Neodiprion lecontei: one gene and its partner. The protein of the gene in region 2 interacts with the protein of the main gene of each other region in a pairwise test. Links are inferred from orthologs where the notes say so. Each region holds a gene or a part of one and is shown on either strand. Other genes may lie near its edges.

The links.
Region 1: the proteins of filamin-A (region 2) and 5'-AMP-activated protein kinase subunit beta-1 interact in a two-hybrid assay, tested with the Drosophila melanogaster proteins (2 studies listed by BioGRID). The link is inferred for Neodiprion lecontei from reciprocal best matches to the Drosophila melanogaster genes jbug and alc.

The regions. Positions count from the first base shown.
Region 1 is NC_060262.1:36,525,596-36,530,986, forward strand, and holds 5'-AMP-activated protein kinase subunit beta-1, read right to left. Parts: upstream 3,529-5,391; 5' UTR 3,439-3,528; intron 3,433-3,438; exon of another isoform or gene 3,032-3,432; intron 2,814-3,031; 5' UTR 2,798-2,813; coding exon 2,603-2,797; intron 2,217-2,602; coding exon 1,941-2,216; intron 1,670-1,940; coding exon 1,439-1,669; intron 1,341-1,438; coding exon 1,194-1,340; 3' UTR 749-1,193; downstream 1-748. Other genes in the region: pancreatic triacylglycerol lipase-like, read left to right, coding at 1-206, 281-519.
Region 2 is NC_060261.1:13,535,898-13,540,758, forward strand, and holds the start of filamin-A, read left to right. Parts: upstream 1-1,703; 5' UTR 1,704-1,943; intron 1,944-4,794; 5' UTR 4,795-4,799; coding exon 4,800-4,861.

The DNA of each region.
Region 1 (5,391 bases), on a different chromosome or scaffold from region 2:
AACAGGATTGGATCCCGCATTACCGGGTATTCACATATTCTCAACTTTAGAAACTCGATTGGACCCGTCTGACGCTAAGTTTGTTGACATCATTCATTCCTGCGGTGGAGTTTTGGGCTACTTCCAGCCCTTAGGTCATGCAGACTTCTATCCAAATGGAGGAACTGCGGTGCAGCCCGGATGTTGCTGCATTCCAGAGCTGTTGGGTGAGGCAATTAGTAGTGATTTAGATGGAAAATTTCCGGAATAAAACTGACGATGTAAAAATTATGGATTTCAGAGGCCTGCAGCCACGGAAGATCTTACGAATATTTTATCGAGAGTATAATTATAAAAAACGGGTTTCCGGCCACAAGATGTTCCGACTGGGACCATTACATGGGGAAAAAATGCTCTGATTCTGATGTCGCGTACATGGGAGCTCACACCGATCCTTCTACGAATGGCTCTTACTTTTTGCAAACTAGACACGAGAAGCCTTATGGTTATGCTGCGGAAGTCACTCAAAATGAAGTTTGATCCATAGTTGCGCGAAGCATCCCAAAACTAATGCTTGTCTAGTCTGGACGGAGTATAACATGTAACACAGTAACAAATGCATCGTTTTAAATGTTATACCTATTTCACGTAATGCATTTTTTTGCTGGAAATTTCATGCGCGTGTGTAATGTGATTGTAATCAATAAATATCGCTAAACTATAAGGTGATCAGAGAAAATTTATAATGAAAACTTCGTCACTATGTAAATTAACGTTTTCTTATAATTTTTTATTATTATTTTTCTCTCGCGTTTCTTTTTTGTTTATCAATAGTCGATACATTTCCCACAATATTCTTACATTACTGTACAATAAACGAATGCACCATTTTTCATGCTTCAATATTAATTCACAAAATTCACAAGATCGACTTACGGATTACATTATCGACGTGAACAATTCGAGAAACTTTTGATTTTAATAAATAATAGTTACAATACTCAACAGATACGTAAGGTACAATATATTACAAGCTAAAGAGGATCGAGGGTAATCACTTTAATCAAATGTCGTTATAGACAATCACTAATGTTCTGTTATTTGACATGTAAGCGAAAAATCTTTTGTAAGTATTTCTTGACAGAAACTAACATACTTTAATGAAACGAAACTATAGCAACTTTTTTACAGAGGAATGAGAAAGAAAAGAAATATTATATAGGCTTGTAGAGTAGAGTTGTAACGTATTTTTTGCGATAACGATGGGTGGCCGAAAGAACCATCACACTGTCTTTGATGCTCAAGGCATAAAGGTGATTCAACATAACGTGGTTTGGCTCAGGTAGAAGCGTTGGTTCACACTGAAAGGTATAATTTAGGAACGAATAAATATGCGTAAGTGAAAAAAGAAAACTTACTAAAATTTTATGCGTATTAAAGGCTAGATGTTAATACTGACAGACATGGGAGTGTCCTTGTTCAAAATAACTTGCAATAAGTGTGGTGGCAAGACTGGAGGGCCAGCAACTTTTTCCCAAGGCTTATTTGGCGGAATCTCTTGACTGTATTCTGTCTGAGCACTGCTAATTATTCCTTCGCTGTCTTTTGCCAGCGCTTGGAAGACCTCGAAATCTGATTGTTTCACTGAGACAAGGTTATTCTTTGATCCCAAACCGTTGTCAACGATTTTCTGTAATTTTTAAATTAACAGAATAGAACACAAGAATGAAACAGGTATTATATAATATCAACAAGGCTATTTTGCAATATTAGGAAGAGTCAATACATAGAAATCAATTCACAGCTGTTTCCAAACAACTCTCCTAATATCTATTCCATCGACAAACTGGCCTTAGATGAGGATAATTTGTAGCCTTCGTGTTATGAAAGTAGTAATTTTTATTCCAACTATCAGCTCTTGATATATATTGATATTAAAATTGATTTGTCTTCCAACTCACCAATCCTGGATCATGTCTCCATTCCCCATCTACATAGAATTTGTATTGATGTTCACCCTCGGGCAAATCGATGATCGTCACAAAATCTCCGTGGCTTTTAACCATTGGTAATGTTTTCCATTCCGTGAAAGTACCACTGATATATACTTGTTTACCACCTCCTTCCCATTTGAACACAGTCGGTAATACTTTGCTATCGGAAACTTTGGTTCCCTCAGATACTGTATTTGAACGAGGACGCCCAGGTCCAAAGTTGTCCCCATCTCCTGGACCAGCCTGTTCAATACTTAGCGGTTCAGTGCCCATACCAAATTGGTATCACGATTATACATGGCATGTGTATCTTTATTCAACTTGTTGAGTTTTATGTTTGGTCAGGACACAAAGAAATACTAATTTTATATTCTTTTACAGACTGAAAAGCAAGTATTACATAGAAGCAGAATAAACGTAGTTAATTTGCTAGAAGGAATTTCACACTGAGGTGAGGCCGTGAAAGTGGAATCTATTTGAGTTTTACTTTGTTATTAAAGTTCATAACTATCATATTCAAAAAAAGCTGTTCATAATCATAAAATTTAATCAAAATCAAAGATCCGTGCGCAGTAATAAGTGTAGTTTTCAAGTAACTATTTGTCAAATGATAAAATTATTAATCACACCTTTGTGTAATAAGGCTCTTCCTCGTCGTGAGACGATTGAAAGACTAGCTTTTGACTTGGCTTTTTGTCAAAAATAAAAGCTTGTCCATCTTTTCCAGGGGAGGAAGGTGGATGATCCTTGCCATGTCTGTGATGACTTTCTCGTACTACGCTACTACTATGATGTCCAGGAACATGGCTGCCTGCGTTACCCATCCTTGAGCTTTGATCCCTAGATAAAAGGTTAATTCAGATTCATGGAATATCTAATTAGTACATAAGCTAACTGTTTAGGTTGGCTAAAAGACCTAAAAGTACAATGATGTCATTAGCAATCAAGGAATTACGAAGAATTAATCATAACATCGAGATGGATGTAGTTTCTAACGATATGAAAATTTGTCACGTTTGTTTACCAACGAAATCGTTATCTGCTTATTCATTACATACCTTAGATAATAGCGTCTCGGCTAACAAAATTTCATCGAACTTGATACATGCTTTAGTTTTTTTATTTTATTCTATTTTATTTTATCACAGGTAGAATAAACGTTACAGCAGCAAAAATTACCAAAATTAGGTTTTAATTACTTGAGGATATCAGCTGTTGCGTGACAAAAAAGCAGCCCTTGAGCAAGATTGATATACTTGGTGATGAGGTTACCTCGATCAGACCAATGGCGCCTGATTGGTTACCTCGACTGACGTCGTTGTAATTTGCTTCGAAACATTCAACACTTCTACCGTCATTTTGCAGTTTGTAGAAAAGTTCTGTTTCATAAGGTTTTGCGTCAGTATGAAACTTTAAAATTGTGAATTCAGGCAATTGCCTTTTTCTTTAACGTCTATCTACTTGCCGTAAATAAGTAGAGAGCCATCTCTGTTTGCAGGAAACTAGACGTCTAGGTCATCTGGCAGAATATTTTGGAACTATTCACATCTTAGTCGTGAGAAGGATGAGTGAACTCCCGAGAACATTTATTATTAGCAGTGCTTAACAGTCTTTGGGAGGGGGTCGGTCGCTTACTGGTAAAAAATTTTGTCAAAAATCACCATCGGCGCTGGGATTTCGCCCCCAGTTGACATAGCCTTCAAAATCGGATCATCCGTAATTTTGTGAACAAAACTAATTTTATGCCGACAATTGCCTGCATGATTGAAGACCGTGATCAGAGTCGTTGAAACCATGGACGATTTTTCGAAAGCTGAACTGCGCAAGGCTGGTTCTGATGACGATCTTTGGAAAATATTCAAGAACCATACTGATATCGAAGCCATCGTTGCGGAATATGTAAGTTGCGCAATCTTATGGGTCTGAAAAGATACATCGACCAAAGAATTGTTGAAGACGACAAGACATGTGGATCATTTTGAAGTGTGTAGAAAAGCATGGTTAGCCTAGGTCACAGACCGTGGCCGAGGTCAACACAGTGTTCTGTGTTCACTGACTTGCTCATTGGCTTATAATGTGAATTCTTGTGTTTTTTTTTTTTTCATTATTGGACACCGGTAATGAGGTAATTTGAATAACAGCAGAAAAATTCTGGAAAAGAAAGAAAGAATCCATGCAATCAAATACCTCCAAGGATCTTTATTCAATGTATTATTTAACTCAACAACATCGGTTTATGCGTTGCACTAAGATAACGATGTTTTCTCCTTTTTTTTTTTAGAATAGTTGGTTCCCAGATCCAGTGGTTGGGTGGACTGATGAATTTTGTATCTCCGAGGCGTTGAGTTTGTGTGTATGGAAAGAAATTCCAGAAAATGATATTGAAGGACACTTGGTAAGATTTGTAAATCTTTGGTTCTCAGATGACAAGATTGAACCAGAAGAAATTAACATTATTATCAGAAATGTACTTCTCATGTTTCCACTTGGCACATGTAATGAATTACTGCTCAAAAATGTGTTCGATTCAGCGATCGAAACAGCACAGATTCCTACGGCCGTTGAGGCTGACAAACACGTAATTAAAGATCCTGTTGTGGATGATCTTGATTGTGACGTCAAAGCCAATGTTTTTGCTTTTCACAACTGGCTGAAAGAGAATTTAATTCTTTTAAAAGCCACTGATAACGATATGCATAGTTCTGCCAGTTACAAGCTCAGGACTGTACTTGGATTCTTTGCTCTAATACTGATGCAACTGATAGTCAGGAAAGAGTCGCACGTCAAAGAATACTTTCCCTATAAAGCTTGGAAAATATTTGATTGCTTGTTTCCCGACATCAACCTCACTGTTGCTTTAGTCGCACCTTCGGCAAATTGCTTAAAATTGGCGTCAGATGCTCTGAATAAGAATCGCAAGAATAAGGCTCGTAATCTATTTCATTTATTAATATTTGAGTACACAAAAACTATGATTGAAGGTGGTGAATCTGAATCTGCTCTATTTGCTAAACAAATTCTTCAGAATGGGTGTCTTAAATTCATGGAAGGCAATGGAATTGGATTAGTGACCATGTTTCTTGATGTCAAGTTACTATACAAAAATATTGAGGAAAAACAATTGCTTTCATTTATCGCCAACAGTGAAAAGGATACGGAGAGTTACGAGCGGCTGATTAATTTTTTGGATATCTACATGCAGCAAGAGAAACCTCAGTACTCGTGGAAATGGGCGAGAATATTGTTTGAAGATATTTTTCGTCATTTGAACATTCGTGAGAATCAATCTTTTTGTTCTAAGCTTGCATCATTACTCATCAAGAAAAGACCTGGTATATTTCAACATAAAGATCTGAAAACTGATAACCCTTACGCCAGTTCATCGGTCAAGTGGGCAAAATACGCTACTAGAAAGTTG
Region 2 (4,861 bases):
CGGCTCCGCTTCGAAGAGAGAGCTATTGAGTCAGGGATGAAAGCGCATGCGCACTGACCTTGTTTCTATTAACTTGCCATTGTTAAGCTAACGATAAGAGAGCAAGCAGCATAATCAAAAATTTCTGACGTAGGAGACACAGAGTACCTCTAAGTTGGGCACAATTCAGAACCACAAAAAATTTAAATTAATGTTAAATAAAACTTTATTGTATTTTGAATGGTTTCGAAAATTCTGAGAACTAATTTTTAGTTGAAGATTAGAAGATATGATAATAAGAAACTTCTATAATATCATAACTTTTCGAAATATTTGTGCGAGCTTTCCATAAAATATATATCACTCAGAAAATGGGAAACGTAAATTAAGTTTTAAGTCATTGATATCTCATGATTTTGAATAATCTGTTTGCTTGCATTTTTGTATGAAGCACCAGCGACGTTTATTATGTGTATATTTACGCCCAACCCTACACAGATTCGAAAAACTTCTAAATGACGATTACCTTTTTTGAGCTGCTTACAAGGCATCTCTTTCAGCGATTTCAGTGATCTCTTTCCAACCAGTATAGTGTATGGAGATTTCGACGATGGCTAAGTTAAACGCGGCCTTGGGAACCGTAGTGCCTATTCCAGCATTCAACTCACGCGAAGATTAGATAATTCACCAACGTACAGGATGTTTCAGTAAAATACTGATAACAATCAATGATAAAAGCTTCGAATCTGTTGTTGTTTATTTCTATAGAGATATTTTTGAAACGTACAATTTTTGCTCTGTTAAATAATAGCATCGTGAGATGGATATAGAAAAATTAGTCAACAGGTAGTCCTTACGTAAGTCTTGTCTGTGTAAAATAGATAAATTATAATTTAATGCTGTATTTTCATGAAGACACAATATCATTTTCAATATATATTGTGACATAATATAGTCATACACATAATAAAACCTCACACATTAACGGTAAACAGAAATATGCCAGTAATTCGACAAATATCTAGAGATAGTGACACTTTTGAAACTCGGTGTTTACCTACTCATCGTCAGTCAAAAGTACCTAACTTGTAGTTACGCGTGTGTACATAACATACTATGATGTAGAAAATTAGGCTAATTGTAAAACGGCGTATAACTATACATATTTATACGTATTAAACTGCAGAGGAGAGATGACCGCCCACAACAATGTAGGCCGATATGAGAATTTCATTGAGCCCACGTGAATGCCTACCAAATAATATGCAATGACGTGATAATAACAATAACAGCGAATTCCAAAATCGTTGATTAATTGAATCGCTCGTTGCTTGTCAATAGTGTACATTTGTTATCTCACAAAGTAGAATAGAATTAATGAAATGGGTTAAAAGTAGATGAAACAAATTTCCACTCAACGTCTTAGTATTATTTCTTTTTTTTTTTTTTTTTGTGTTCCGCAAAGACACGATGCTGTGGGTGGGTTTCTTAATGTAAGCACAGCTGCCTGTACGCTTATATTGTACCACCATCGTTGGCCATGAAGTGGCCGGGGGCTCAGCACCAAACGAACTTTCGTATTGGTGCAGAAGGAGAAGAAAATGCTAAGAAACGATTCATTCGTACCTGCGCGACGAGGCCATAAAGCCGTGTATTACTACCTGAATCACCAACACAAACCGGCAACATCGAGTTACTCGGTATAGTTTGCATTGCGGCAGTCAGTAAAGTCCGAGGCTTCAAGCGATCGACATCAATATGCGGATAATGTCGTAATACGTCGCGTAAAAACTAGTATTTGTACTAATGCGGTGTGACTTCTGATCGGAGGACCAAAAATGGCGTTTTCGTTTACCGCAAATTTGTTATTTTAGTTCGCGCCTTTGTAAATATCTCCTACCGCGGTATATCGACCTGTTGAATTTGTTATTGTGTGCGGCAGTGTCGTGACAATTATACGCAAGGTGATTATGGTCAAGTTTCACGATGCATCATGCATATTCATGAACATTATACCTACAGCGCATCGAATTAATCTTCCACCTTAAGTCATTTCTATATTGAGTTTATTGTGTACATACTATTATCACCGCCAACCTGCCGATGCTCACTTGTACGTGTATCCGTGTAACCTACGTATTCATCAGAACACATATGAAAGTCACACCTGGTATGGAGATGAAGAAGCGGAATGACAAGACCGTGTACTGTAAACGGTCCGATACACCCAGTCGGAATGCCGGGGATTTGATATCACAAAAATTAAGCATCGTAGCTTACTCAAAAAATTTGAACAAAAAATTTATTGTACTGGAGAATAATTCGTATTTTGAATCATACTTGTTTATATTTAGGTACTTGTTTCATTGTGCCATGGGCAATAACAGCTTTGCTAATTTCTATGATTATCAATCGCAATTTTCTCACGGTAATAATAGTGGGGAATAGTAACAATTACAAATGCCCGCAAATTTTCTTCGGGAGAATGCCAAATGAATGAGTGTTGGTTGTTCCGACATATTTTGGTGTGCAGAATACGATTATAGCGTCACGTGTTTTTCGGATTGAAAAATTGCATTTTTTAACTCGTATTATCTTCCAAACCGCTCCACAAAGTAATTTATGTTATGTACCAAGACCTATAGAATGACGTACTGTTTAAAAATAATTTTTATCACGCCTATAAATTTTTTTTATTTTCTATTATAACTCCATCTTTATTTACAATCTGTCTGGGTAGGCAATAGACTGAATTATATATACATCATTAAAGAGTGACATGGAGGTACATCTCCAATGATCAGTACCATTAAACGATATTTACATATTTTATATTAATCAGACTATTATCAATTAGTTACATTATTGTGCACCTTCGGAATCAATTTATATTTTTATTAAGATGGAGACTTATATTTTTTGAATCTTGAAGCACTAGAGGTTTGTTTTAGTAGTTTTCTAGCATGACGATTTGGATGTTAGTATAATTTATCCTTGTATCTTTGGGAGAAAGTTTGCACTTCTTGTTTCACTGATGATGTATTTGTATCTTTCCTTACGCCTATAAATAGCCATAAAAGCTATTTTTAGCCCGAACATTTGAAATTTTTAACATTAGTCAAGATCTACATATATTTTTTTCCATCTGAGGTAATTCTAACGTGTGGAGGGTATTTTCATTTGACTCAAATAATGGCAAGTGGTGTACTTTGACATAAGAAAACCACATTTTTAACCCTTAGCATTATTGCAATAGATATGCATGCTATTATAATAACATGTCAAAGTATATCACTTAAGCTGCTATTTGAGTCAAATGGAAAATATAAAATTTTCTGCATGAAATATTTTTTTGTGGCTATTTATAGATGTGACAGAATTTAAGAAAAATTGCACGTCATTCTATAGTTCACAACATAAATTTTTTTCATCATTCTTTATTAAGCAGTTTTGGATATAATACGAGTAAGACAGTGGAATTTTTGCCAAAAATTTATTTATTTATATATTTTGTATCAATGGGAAAAGCCCAACTACAACGATATAAAAACTATAGTGATCAGCGTGTTTGGTCGCCACTAATAGAAACACAATGAGGAACATAATGCTTTAAATTCTTAGATTTAATTGCGTAAAGCTTCAGTTGCATTCAAAATATATATAGATTTCTTCTTAACATAGTAAAGATTTGGCTTGTAAATATCAAGCCCATCAGCGTGTCTGTTACAAAAATCGGCGAGTCGTATTGATGGTGAAACGAGCAAAAAATTGGTATCCGATACAGAATGAAAAAATTAATGATTATGATATCTTAAAGATCTATTTGGAATGTGGAAGTTGAATTTTGATAGCACTTTGCTGCAATCGATAAAGTTGTCGAGAAGCTTGCAAGTGAAAATTACATCCTTTCTCTCTGTCTGTTTTATTTGAGGCCAGATATTTTGATAAGTTCCTGGATAATGCTATATTGGCCAATTTTAACGGCCACATAATGAAGGTATTAGTGGTTAAGTTTCTTTAGATCGTATATGACGTAGTGTAATTTCGGTCTCCAAATCAGAGATCAGAAAGTTAAGACAGGGTAAGTGTATGAGTAATAGAAGCTTCTGAAAGCGTCAAGATTGGTGAATTTCTTTGTAAATCTCTTAATAATGCATATGGTTCTGCAAACTTTAATTTGGATGTGTTCAAAATGAAATTTCAAGGAAAGTTTATTTTGCTTATTGTTATTAAGTTTATTTTTTTATGATGAAGCATTTTTTACTATTGCACCACAAACCATCACCACAACAAAAATGCAATTTTGTGATGGAAATATTTCGAAAGCCTGACGTGATAAAAAAAAAGCCAACACCATCATATTCACCGTACCAGAATACACTGGAAACACACTAACTCGTCTATTTAGCATTTTCTCAAAACAATATTGCAGGGCTATGTTGTAGATTGATTTTATGATCCGCTATGATGTAAGTCTCCTTCCCATTACAAAACTGCGACAACGTTTAATTGTCTGTAATATCTTTTTTTCTTACCGTGGAAGTAATATGTCAAAGTATTTCAGAAATGGAGTAAAATTTATGTTTTCGATTGATTTTTACAAATTTTGGTAAGATTTTGCCTCACTTAATCACTGCGTTACTATTGTAGTGTCGTATAACTAATGAAACTATCTAAGAACTTCATCATTTTTTCGAATGCACAAGTAGAAACTCGCTTCAATTATTTTTACGACTTATTTGACACCACAAAGACATAGCATTTTGCACATATGAATGTATTTTTAAGATGTCTTTGCATGTGCTGTTGCTATAGAAAATATGCATTCAACGATGGAGCATCTTCGACCGGAACAGCTGGTGGGCCTGGTAGCCCGTTCAGC